Arabidopsis thaliana: one gene and its partner. The protein of the gene in region 1 interacts with the protein of each later gene in a pairwise test. Each region holds a gene or a part of one and is shown in the gene's direction. Other genes may lie near its edges.

Region 1 (5,103 bases):
TTTAGCAAAAAAAACAATGACAATCTACTCATCAAGAGGACTAGATGATGACTTTCAAATCTTTTTTTTTTGGTTTTTTTTTTTTTTGGCAAAGATGACTTTCAAATCTTTGCAAACAAAATCAAAATGTAAAAAATGAGAGAGAGAAACCAAAAATAATAATGAGAAAATAGTCTATTAAGAAAAGATGTACGTAAGAATTAAGTTAAAATGTAACACTAAAATAAAAGAAAAAATCAAATGTATGATAAGACCCTCATCAAACCATTATATTGAAGTAAATTATATATGTATGAAAATGAAATATCAAAGAGTTCTTTTACTCTCACTTATGACACGCTAAATTAAAACCACTAAAAACCATAATATTAATTTCACGGCTACAAGTTGATGCTTCCTCAAACTTACTACGTTCCAATGCCGGGCACTGATTAAATATGGACTTCACATCTTTTTTTTTTTTTTTAGATATTCATTTCCAAACGGTCTATTGACAGATGGGCTAAGAATTTCACGGGTTACAAAAAAGTGGTCCAAATCGGAACATAATAGAAACAAGATCAGTAAAACGACGGTTCACCGGCCGGAGACGCAGCCTTCACCTTCTATATCCGATGCAAATTTAACATATTTCGAACGAATCTATGAGATCTATATGAGAATTTTGCTTCTTGGGTTTTATACGGTTCGGGAAAGTGGATGTATCAAGTTGTGACAAGAAGCATCAAAGAATATGACTTTGTCCAGTCATTTTTATGGTATAGTGATGATCGTCAATGATCATAATTGGCTAGGAAGAAAGAGCACATGTGCATTCATATGATTATCATAATTGTGCATATCATATGCTTTTATGGGCATAGTTGTCGATAGAAACAAAACATGCGTCGAGGAAAAAACAAAAGAATAGTTAAAACTTAGAATCTTTGATTCTCATGAGCCATGAGGCCATGTGCTTTTTCTCTCCCACGTTATATGTTTTACCATCCTTATAATTTGCTCCCCCGACTTCTCTCACTTTCAGACGAAAAGAACTGCTGTCGCGATTTTTGAACAATTATGGAAAATAATTTAGATGTGAAGGAAGCCGTAAAAATAGTTATTATACTTTTTGTCCATATATATAGAATTCGTGATGATTATGTTGTGGATGACAATTGGTGGTAGATAGAAACCTTTACTATCGCCATTGTTATGGGCTAATTAATCAAGTTTGGTAACAAATCAACATAATAGGACCAATAACAACAACTACTGCAGATCTTACTATTATTCTTTTTATTAATTCATCAGTATATTTTATTATTTTTTCTTGATTGTTTATCCGATTGATCTTGTAAGAGATAACTTTTGATTATTACATAACTTACTTCAACATGTTAAATGACACAATAAAATAGACAATTTATTTTTGATATCCTTTTGAAAAATATTAAATAAATATTTGTAATGACTGTGTTGCACTAAAAAATCGAGATAACCCCATGAGTGATAATTTGGTAACATAATCTAAACTTAGAGACAATTAACTAATTAAGTTATTATCTGAGAAATAAATTAGACAATATTTTTATTCGTGTGTGTAATTTTTGTGGTATAATATTTTTTCTTATATTGTTTCAATTCTACGGATGTTTTGGATAAAAAGGTTAATCAAATTTATAAAATGTAAAATTTTGCTTGAACAAATGAACCAAAATGTTTACTAATTGGCTAATTGCTGGAAAAAAACAGTTATATAATTTTTGTTAACAAAAAAAATGTTTGATGTAAATAATTAATTCACAGCTAAAAGTCAATTTCCTCATTTATTTTTGATTAAAGAAAGTAATAAAAAACAATTAAGTATACCATTCGCTGTACAAGAGTCGTTTAGTTCTGTCGGCTCGACAACCGACTCAAGCCGGCTCGAGTCGCTAAGTGAATCCACTCGCTGTCTGTCGGTGGACAAAGCCGGCTCCAATCTGATCACTCTCTCTCACCAGCACACACACAGCTCTCTCTCTTCCCTCTCTCTCTCCCCCGCTTTATACTTTGTTGAGTCAAAATCACAGACGAAGAAGAAGAAGAAACCTCTCTCTCACTCCTCTCTCCTTTCTCTCGTCTTATTCGCTTCTCTTCTACGTAACAGATTGTTCATCTTCTTCTCCTTGTTGCATTGAGGTGAGTTCAATTTGATCTATCAATGTCTAAATGCATGCTTTTTGAATTATCGGATCTCTTGTGTTTGATTTCATTGATAGAGATCCAATTATGATCTAGATCTGAAGAATCCTGTTTTTTGAGTTCCTATTGGTTAAAAAGTTTCCTCATTTAGCTTTAGTTCGAATCTGGAATGTTAAACGATTCGGATCGAGATTTAGCAGTAGTAGAATTCAGTTAGGTAGAGTGATATTTTTATACTATTAGTCTTCAATTATAATATAATTGCATTGAGCTTTTCCTACTTCACTGTATCGTTTTCTATTGTAAAGATTGATCCTTTTTATATATTATGCAGGGGGTGTTGTTGATGTTCTGACGATCTGATTTGAGTAGATCTGGGTAGGGGGCAAGGTCTCTGGGTCTACTTTTGATTTGAGAATTTTTTAAGTGAAGTGAAGATATGACAAGTGCTCTTGGATGGAGATTTCCTTCCACTAATGGAAATGGCCTTGCCCCAAGTGACACGGTAATAATTACTTGATTCAGTATTAACATTCATCACACGGGTTTATGGAAAAGCTTGTTTAGTTGATATACTGCAATCTTTCTGAGTTGCAAAGTCAGATCTGGTGTATTAGCAGGATGATTAAGCTGATATGTCCCTTGCATTTTGAATCTGATTTGAAAAAAGTACTTGAGCTAAGTCCATTGTTAATTAATGGCTTTGTACCAGTCAGTTATATCTGATAGAGTGTCATGATAAAGGTTATAGTTTTTCCATTGCATAGGAGCGAAAAGGTCTTGTTGCTCTTTTAACTTATTTTCTGTTGTTTGGTCTTGATTGCAGGAGAGAAATGGGGATATGAAGATGCATGATTCAGAGCCCCCAACTCCACATTCAACCACAAAGATGAGTTTGAGGTAACGCATATATGTATTTGGTACTGCATGGGAGCTAATCATCGTGATAAAATTGAGGTTTTATCTGTATTTGTTGCACCACCATCTTGGTTTAACAATGCCTGTGGAAATTAATATTATCTGGATTGGTTTCCTATGTTATCCTTTCAAATGAGACATTTTAAGCAGAAAGGCACACCTATTAGCGAATTAGTATCTAACTTTCCCCATCCCCTGCAGAGACCGGACAACCAGCATGGAAGATCCAGATGGGACATTAGCAAGTGTTGCCCAATGCATTGAGCAGCTGCGCCAAGGTTCATCATCTGCACAAGAAAGAGAATATTGTCTGAAGCAGTTACTGGACCTTATAGAAATGCGTGAGAATGCATTCAGTGCTGTCGGATCACACTCCCAAGCTGTGCCAGTACTTGTCTCTCTTCTCCGATCGGGATCAGTTGGAGTGAAGATACAAGCTGCAACCGTCTTGGGTTCACTCTGCAAGGAGAACGAACTTAGAGTTAAGGTGTTACTTGGGGGATGCATTCCTCCATTGCTTGGTCTTCTCAAGTCCAGTTCAGTCGAAGGGCAGATCGCTGCAGCAAAGACAATCTATGCTGTTTCTGAAGGTGGGGTTAAAGACCATGTTGGATCAAAAATATTTTCCACTGAGGGAGTTGTACCGGTTCTGTGGGACCAATTGCGCAGTGGAAATAAAAAAGGAGAGGTTGATGGTTTGTTAACTGGTGCACTTAAGAACCTTTCTAGTACCACAGAGGGATTTTGGTCTGAGACAATTCGAGCTGGGGGAGTGGATGTACTTGTGAAGCTGCTCACAAGCGGGCAGTCAAGTACACTATCTAATGTCTGCTTCCTTCTTGCGTGTATGATGATGGAAGACGCCTCTGTTTGTTCCAGTGTATTGACTGCAGACATTACAAAACAGCTTCTCAAATTATTAGGATCGGGTAATGAAGCCCCAGTGAGGGCAGAGGCTGCTGCTGCTCTCAAGTCGCTTTCTGCTCAATCTAAGGAAGCAAAGCGGGAAATCGCTAATTCTAATGGTATTCCTGTTTTAATAAATGCAACAATAGCTCCATCTAAAGAATTCATGCAAGGTGAATATGCGCAAGCATTACAAGAAAATGCAATGTGTGCCCTTGCTAATATTTCCGGTGGTTTGTCATATGTCATATCAAGCCTTGGTCAGAGCCTTGAATCTTGCTCTTCGCCTGCTCAGACTGCCGACACCCTTGGGGCTTTAGCTTCAGCATTGATGATATATGATGGCAAGGCAGAAACTACAAGAGCATCAGATCCATTGGTCGTTGAACAGACTCTGCTGAAGCAGTTTAAGCCTCGTCTACCATTCTTGGTGCAAGAACGTACAATTGAAGCACTTGCAAGTTTGTATGGGAATTCCATACTCTCTGTCAAACTTTCCAACTCGGATGCAAAACGTTTGCTTGTTGGTCTAATAACGATGGCGGTGAATGAGGTTCAAGATGAGCTTGTAAAGGCTCTTCTGATGCTGTGTAACCATGAAGGTAGCCTGTGGCAAGCACTACAGGGCCGTGAAGGGATCCAATTGCTAATATCTCTTTTGGGTCTTTCATCCGAACAGCAGCAAGAATGTGCTGTTGCACTTCTTTGCCTTTTGTCTAACGAAAATGATGAAAGCAAGTGGGCCATCACTGCTGCTGGAGGTATACCTCCACTTGTTCAAATTCTAGAGACTGGGTCGGCCAAAGCCAGGGAAGACTCTGCAACTATCCTTAGGAACTTGTGCAATCATAGCGAAGATATACGTGCTTGTGTTGAAAGTGCGGATGCTGTCCCTGCTCTCTTATGGCTACTAAAGAATGGTAGTCCAAATGGTAAAGAAATTGCCGCCAAGACATTGAATCATTTGATTCATAAATCAGATACTGCAACTATCAGTCAGCTTACTGCTTTGCTGACCAGTGATCTACCTGAGTCTAAAATTTACGTTTTGGATGCATTGAAGAGTATGCTTTCTGTGGTCCCATTCAATGACATGCTACGTGAAGGCAGTGC
Region 2 (7,847 bases), on another chromosome or scaffold:
AGGAAAAAGAATAATATAAGGGCACCGACAGTTTCTATAAGAACATGTGGCACGAGGGCTTGGAGAAGACAGTACACAGCATTCAATCAATCATGAAAACGACATTTGATGTGGTAACCTACTAAAGTTCGATCTTTTTTTATGAAAGTTTCTTAATATTTCTTTAATTTCCGGACTATATCTATCAACAAGTCAAAAGATTAAAAAAAATCAACAAGCAAAATACTGTTAAAATATTGTTTTATATATACCACGAACTATTTGTCGGCAAATGTATACATATAGTATAGACATCATACATGGGCAAATCGCATATATTTGTGTGATGTGATACCATAGTCTCAATAATTTGAACATTTTTCTCTTATTTAAGCACGGAGGAAAAATTAGCTATATGGCGACTTGGCGAGTGGAGCCAAGATTAAAAAAAAAAAAAGCATGTTATTTAAAAATATGGTAGACATAACATACAAAAAAATATAGTAAAATAAACAGAACTGATTGAACAAAAGAGAGTGATCAAAGTTGAAAAATAATTTAACTATAAAAACTAAAAAGAAAATTATCAGAGGATGGAGATATTAAACTAATAAAAATGTAATTAAATAAGTAAACTATAAATTAAATAAGTAAAAAATTAAACGTAATTAGAAGGAACAAAAAAAACTAGAAAAGTAAAAACATAAGAGAGGAAGGAGGGAAGCAAAAGTGAAAACCAATGCAGTCAACAGTCAAAAACCATGATACAGTCCATGCGTAGAACATAATTAACTTAAGCAATAAATTTAATAAGTAAAAAATTAAACGTAATTAGAAGGAACAAAAAAAAAGTATATAAAAAATTAGAAGGAACAAAAAAAAAAACTAGAAAATAGGATCTTGGACACGATGCTTACAGATTGTTTTTTGTCTGGGAAGTAAATGCCCATATCTGTTTCTCGACATTTTGAAGTCTCTCTAACAAAATAATTAGAGGAATTAAGAACTTGATTGTGTAACTTTTTTTTTAATCTTAAATTAAGATAATACTATTTCATTACAACTATTATTTTCTTGCACATGTTGCAAGAACGTGAGAGTGTACGCAGACAAATAATTAAAACGAAAATAAAATTATAATGATTATATACAATCTCGGCTATCAATTGATTAATAGAGAAAATTGACTAACCACTCTGAATTGGCTCAAAATGTAGTTATTAATTCAAACCGAGTTTCACTTCATTTATATTATTTTCATTTTTTAACTTTAAAATATATATATTTAATAAACCAAATATGATCTAAACTAAATCTAAAAGGCTCCATCCAAAGTAGATTTGATTTTACTATATATTTAAAACATGTATGGTAGGAAAATTTAACCGAAACCAAATTAAACACATTTTAGGGTGAAGAAAATCACCCAAAAAAAAAAGGTGACTTTTTTTTGTAACAAAACAAAAGACCTAAAGTTTAGAGACAAAATAAAATGTTAGGGTGATTCAATGCATCACATAATACAGTATTGTTAATAATTAATGGCTAATAATAATGTGTGTTTGGAAGTTTTTACTAATCTCTTCTTTACAACAACAAGTGGAGTGGAAGAGAGAGATACACACAAGGTTTAATGGGTCCCACATTCTTTTACTTCTCAAAATTTAATTACTAATTTTATCTAATTTTGGTGCTCTTTTTCCTCATCTACATAATTGCCTTTAATTATCTCACACCATTTAACTAATCACTGATTCTCTTCTTCCTTACGCGTTTGTACTTAACCCCCTTTTATCATCATTTCGCAGGCTTGCGTCTGTCTCTCTCTCTCTCTCCACCATTGACTCTCTCTCTCTCTCTCGCTCTGGAATCATCCTTTATTTCTGTGACTGTGTGCACTTTCAGAGAGGAGAGAGAGGCCCAAAACCAAAAGAAAAGAAAAGGTTGTGGCTTGCAGCTGAATCAATACCATCTCCATATATACAATACACCTTCACTATTCCCCCTTTTGTATTTTTATTATATTTTTCCCATCAAAGTCTGTTTTTTTAGACTCCGGTTTGCCGCTTTGTGTGTGTGTGAGAGAGAGAAAGAGAGCTATCTATCCTCTGATTTATGGTCTCTGGATCTCTGACAATCGAGTTGAGTTAATTACAACACATTCCTCTCTTTCTCAATCGATCTGTGAAATCCAAGATTGTTAGCTGTGTCTGTTTTCAGACAAATATGAACACCGGTGGTCGGTTAATCGCCGGTTCTCACAACAGGAATGAGTTTGTCCTCATTAATGCCGATGAGAATGCCCGAGTATGTTTCTCCTCTTCTTTTGTTTCCAATTCTCTGTCTTTTGATCTGTGTTTCTCTATCTCTGTTCAAAAGTCTCTGACTTTTTTTACTTTTCTTGTGGATCTGGCTCTTACCACTGCAAATCAATTAAGATTTAGGGTTTTTAGTACTAGTATTAAGATTACGTACCCTTGTAGCTAATTTTATCAAGAATTGATTGTGTCGGTGGGATGGATTTTTCCGGATTTGACTTGTCTTAATTCTCCAATTTAAGAGATTTCTTCAATTGCAATTATGAATCTATCAATGTGAAGAGTAATAATTATGTTATTGGGTTACTTTGATCTGGTGTGAGATCCAGTCTGATAGTGTCACTACTATGATCTGATGTATTTAACTCTACTGTTTTGTGCAGATAAGATCAGTCCAAGAGCTGAGTGGACAGACATGTCAAATCTGCAGAGATGAGATCGAATTGACTGTTGATGGAGAACCGTTTGTGGCATGTAACGAATGTGCATTCCCTGTGTGTAGACCTTGCTATGAGTACGAAAGACGAGAAGGCAATCAAGCTTGTCCACAGTGCAAAACCCGTTTCAAACGTCTTAAAGGTTCGTTGTTTGTTAGACCAAATTTCTTTGGTTTTTTGTGAATGTAGAAGATTTTCTGATTTGTTCGGCCTATGTTGTTGTTTGTTAGGAAGTCCAAGAGTTGAAGGTGATGAAGAGGAAGATGACATTGATGATTTAGACAATGAGTTTGAGTATGGAAATAATGGGATTGGATTTGATCAGGTTTCTGAAGGTATGTCAATCTCTCGTCGCAACTCCGGTTTCCCACAATCTGATTTGGATTCAGCTCCACCTGGCTCTCAGATTCCATTGCTGACTTACGGCGACGAGGTAAAAATCTCAGAATGTATCCACATTGTATAACCCATCTTCAGTAATTGGCTCACTCAGATTTCTCTTTTGTTTTATTACAGGACGTTGAGATTTCTTCTGATAGACATGCTCTTATTGTTCCTCCTTCACTTGGTGGTCATGGCAATAGAGTTCATCCTGTTTCTCTTTCTGACCCGACCGTGGCTGCACATCCAAGGCCTATGGTACCTCAGAAAGATCTTGCGGTTTATGGTTATGGAAGTGTCGCTTGGAAAGATCGGATGGAGGAATGGAAGAGAAAGCAGAATGAGAAACTTCAGGTTGTTAGGCATGAAGGAGATCCTGATTTTGAAGATGGTGATGATGCTGATTTTCCAATGTAAGGCAAAGAATATAATTTTTTTTGTTGATGTCTTGTTCCGTTGCAGTGATATTTATCAAGCCTTTTTTTTCCATTTTAGGATGGATGAGGGAAGGCAGCCATTGTCTAGGAAGATACCAATCAAATCGAGCAAGATAAATCCTTACCGGATGTTAATTGTGCTACGTCTTGTGATTCTTGGTCTCTTCTTTCACTACCGTATTCTTCACCCCGTCAAAGATGCATATGCTTTGTGGCTTATTTCTGTTATATGTGAGATATGGTTTGCTGTTTCATGGGTTCTTGATCAGTTCCCTAAATGGTACCCTATCGAGCGAGAAACGTACTTGGACCGACTCTCATTAAGGTACTTACATCTTGTGGGTTATTACACTTGGAAATGTTAAAACTTTGTTTTGGGGATATAATCCTTATTTTTTTTGTTTGCAGATATGAGAAAGAAGGGAAACCGTCGGGACTATCCCCTGTGGATGTATTTGTTAGTACAGTGGATCCATTGAAAGAGCCTCCGCTTATTACTGCAAATACTGTCTTGTCTATTCTTGCTGTTGATTATCCTGTCGATAAGGTTGCTTGTTACGTATCTGATGATGGTGCTGCTATGCTTACTTTCGAAGCTCTTTCTGAGACCGCTGAATTCGCAAGGAAATGGGTTCCTTTCTGCAAGAAATATTGTATTGAGCCTCGTGCTCCCGAATGGTATTTCTGCCATAAAATGGACTACTTGAAGAATAAAGTTCATCCCGCATTTGTTAGGGAGCGGCGAGCCATGAAGGTTACTAGTTCTTACTTTTTTATAAATTTGATTTGATGAGAAAAGTTTTGGTCTAATTGATTCTTGCTTTAGAAAAAAAAAATTCATGAGAAAAGTTATCAATCTTTTGTTATATGGGCTCTTATGAAAGAAGATGGTGGCTTTGAAAATTGATTTGAAAGATTGTGTGTTTTACTGGTTTTGACAGAGAGATTATGAAGAATTCAAAGTAAAGATCAATGCTTTAGTAGCAACAGCACAGAAAGTGCCTGAGGATGGTTGGACTATGCAAGACGGTACACCTTGGCCCGGTAATAGTGTGCGAGATCATCCTGGCATGATTCAGGTGAGTTTCAAATGCTTCTTATTTCTGAAAAGCCTTCTTATGTGTTGTCCTTCAAAATTTAATTATACTTTGTTTTCTTGTTAAAGGTCTTCCTTGGAAGTGACGGTGTTCGTGATGTCGAAAACAACGAGTTGCCTCGATTAGTTTACGTTTCTCGTGAGAAGAGACCCGGATTTGATCACCATAAGAAGGCTGGAGCTATGAATTCCCTGGTAAATGATATACTTTTTAAAGCTCTAAACCTTCTTCTTTGTAAATTACGTCTTGCCATTTATTGAAATGGTTCCTGACTCTTGATTTCATCTACAAAACTTTTGTTGAAGATACGAGTCTCTGGGGTTCTATCAAATGCTCCTTACCTTCTGAATGTCGATTGTGATCACTACATCAACAATAGCAAAGCTCTTAGAGAAGCAATGTGTTTCATGATGGATCCTCAGTCAGGAAAGAAAATCTGTTATGTTCAGTTCCCTCAAAGGTTCGATGGGATTGATAGGCACGATCGATACTCAAATCGCAATGTTGTGTTCTTTGATGTAAGTACAGCCACCACTTTCCTATTGTATCCCTTTTTCTTGAGATTTCTGTAGAATACCAACTAATGAATCTTTATTTACAGATCAATATGAAAGGTTTGGATGGGCTACAAGGGCCTATATACGTCGGTACAGGTTGTGTTTTCAGGAGGCAAGCGCTTTACGGATTTGATGCACCGAAGAAGAAGAAGGGCCCACGTAAGACATGCAATTGCTGGCCAAAATGGTGTCTCCTATGTTTTGGTTCAAGAAAGAATCGTAAAGCAAAGACAGTGGCTGCGGATAAGAAGAAGAAGAATAGGGAAGCGTCAAAGCAGATCCACGCATTAGAAAATATCGAAGAGGGCCGCGTCACTAAAGGTATCATACAAATCCTGTTTGTTGTTAAACTCTTTCGTTAGTCGGTGCATTTTACTAAAAAAATAAAATTTAAAAAACATTCTAGGTTCTAACGTAGAACAGTCAACCGAGGCAATGCAAATGAAGTTGGAGAAGAAATTTGGGCAGTCTCCTGTATTTGTTGCATCTGCGCGTATGGAGAATGGTGGGATGGCTAGAAACGCAAGCCCGGCTTGTCTGCTTAAAGAAGCCATCCAAGTCATTAGTTGCGGATATGAAGATAAAACTGAATGGGGAAAAGAGGTAAGCAGCCGGTTTTAAACCTTTGTTGTGTTTATTCAATCAATTCTTGATTTTGATGATGACCTTGTGAAAAAAATCTCAGATTGGGTGGATCTATGGTTCTGTTACCGAAGATATTCTTACGGGTTTTAAGATGCATTCTCATGGTTGGAGATCTGTTTATTGTACACCAAAGTTAGCGGCTTTCAAAGGATCAGCTCCAATCAATCTTTCGGATCGTCTCCATCAAGTTCTTCGATGGGCGCTTGGGTCGGTTGAGATTTTCTTGAGTAGGCATTGTCCTATTTGGTATGGTTATGGAGGTGGGTTGAAATGGCTTGAGCGGTTGTCCTACATTAACTCTGTGGTTTACCCGTGGACCTCTCTACCGCTCATCGTTTACTGTTCTCTCCCTGCCATCTGTCTTCTCACTGGAAAATTCATCGTTCCCGAGGTAAAACAATCATCTTGAGTTCTCAAAATATGAATCTTTATTTCACGTTTTGTGCTTATTCATTTTCCTTGCCACTGGGGGTTAAAAGTATCATATGAATCTTTATTCCAAGTTGTGTGTTTTAAGACCGGAAAACGATTCTTGTTCCTTCTTTTTCCAGATTAGCAACTATGCGAGTATCCTCTTCATGGCGCTCTTCTCGTCGATTGCAATAACGGGTATTCTCGAGATGCAATGGGGCAAAGTTGGGATCGATGATTGGTGGAGAAACGAACAGTTTTGGGTCATTGGAGGTGTTTCTGCGCATCTGTTTGCTCTCTTCCAAGGTCTCCTCAAGGTTCTTGCTGGTGTCGACACTAACTTCACAGTCACATCAAAAGCAGCTGATGATGGAGAGTTCTCTGACCTTTACCTCTTCAAATGGACTTCACTTCTCATCCCTCCAATGACTCTACTCATCATAAACGTCATTGGAGTCATAGTCGGAGTCTCTGATGCCATCAGCAATGGATACGACTCGTGGGGACCGCTTTTCGGAAGACTGTTCTTTGCACTTTGGGTCATCATTCATCTTTACCCGTTCCTTAAAGGTTTGCTTGGGAAACAAGATAGAATGCCAACCATTATTGTCGTCTGGTCCATCCTCCTGGCCTCGATTCTTACACTTCTTTGGGTCCGGGTTAATCCGTTTGTGGCGAAAGGCGGTCCTATTCTCGAGATCTGTGGTTTAGACTGCTTGTGATTCGATTGACCGGTGGATGGGTTGGTGAAAAAGGTTTAATTCCCACGGATCAAAGAGAGGTAAGAGAGATATTGTTTTACCTCTAAAAGACTCCTTCATTGTGTTCATTAGATGATGAAAAATGAAAAGAAAAAGAAGATTTAATTTTGTTACGAGAATTGTTATTTTTGCAAGAATGTGTTGTAGATATAGAGATGAAGAAGAAAGTTGTTGTCTATTTGTTTTGTTCTTTGGTGGTGAGAGAAAAAAGATTTGTCAAATTATTCTTTAATTGAATATTTCTGATCTCTTTTGAATATTACAGAAGAGCATTTTCAATCTGTAATCTTTTATGATTAAAGAACTTTGATTTATTTTCACTAATTTCCCTATCTTATTTCTTGTTTGAAAAATTAATTTACTCGAGGTTTGATTGGTTTTGATTTTCAATCCGCATGCTTGGAGACGTTTTAAAGCATCCATTAAAAATGTTACCAAACCTTAGAAAATTACGAACTTGATCAGAGTGGCCCAAAACAAATTATACAGGCCCAATACAGGCCCGAATCTACACAGCCTTTTACACTTTTATTGGTTCTGTTTTGACAAGTGACATGGTGCTTTCATCATATCTGCAGAGGGCAGCACTCAGATTGGTTAGTCTTTTTGGTTAGAGAATTTTGAAAACTTTTTTGTTTCTCATTTGTAAGTGTCACTACGCAAAGTAATTTAATATTTTTGTATCGTTCTAGTTTTATTAAAATGTCTACACATAGATACCAGAAAGAGGACTTTAATTTCGAGTCATTTTTGAAATAAAAGTTTCTAATTTTGTCACATTTCAGCAAAAATACTCGTGTGTATATGTAATGTCTACTGTTCCT

What was found.
Region 2: the proteins of CSI1 (region 1) and CESA6 interact in a two-hybrid assay, tested with the Arabidopsis thaliana proteins (one study listed by BioGRID).

The regions. Positions count from the first base shown.
Region 1 is NC_003071.7:9,404,188-9,409,290, forward strand, and holds the start of CSI1 (binding protein), read left to right. Parts: upstream 1-1,871; 5' UTR 1,872-2,163; intron 2,164-2,500; 5' UTR 2,501-2,605; coding exon 2,606-2,671; intron 2,672-2,992; coding exon 2,993-3,066; intron 3,067-3,285; coding exon 3,286-5,103.
Region 2 is NC_003076.8:25,879,350-25,887,196, forward strand, and holds CESA6 (cellulose synthase 6), read left to right. Parts: upstream 1-1,683; 5' UTR 1,684-2,205; coding exon 2,206-2,286; intron 2,287-2,680; coding exon 2,681-2,876; intron 2,877-2,964; coding exon 2,965-3,167; intron 3,168-3,250; coding exon 3,251-3,528; intron 3,529-3,610; coding exon 3,611-3,877; intron 3,878-3,960; coding exon 3,961-4,306; intron 4,307-4,493; coding exon 4,494-4,631; intron 4,632-4,717; coding exon 4,718-4,843; intron 4,844-4,954; coding exon 4,955-5,167; intron 5,168-5,250; coding exon 5,251-5,527; intron 5,528-5,612; coding exon 5,613-5,809; intron 5,810-5,891; coding exon 5,892-6,242; intron 6,243-6,402; coding exon 6,403-6,984; 3' UTR 6,985-7,379; downstream 7,380-7,847. UniProt on the Arabidopsis thaliana protein: Catalytic subunit of cellulose synthase terminal complexes ('rosettes'), required for beta-1,4-glucan microfibril crystallization, a major mechanism of the cell wall formation. Involved in the primary cell wall formation.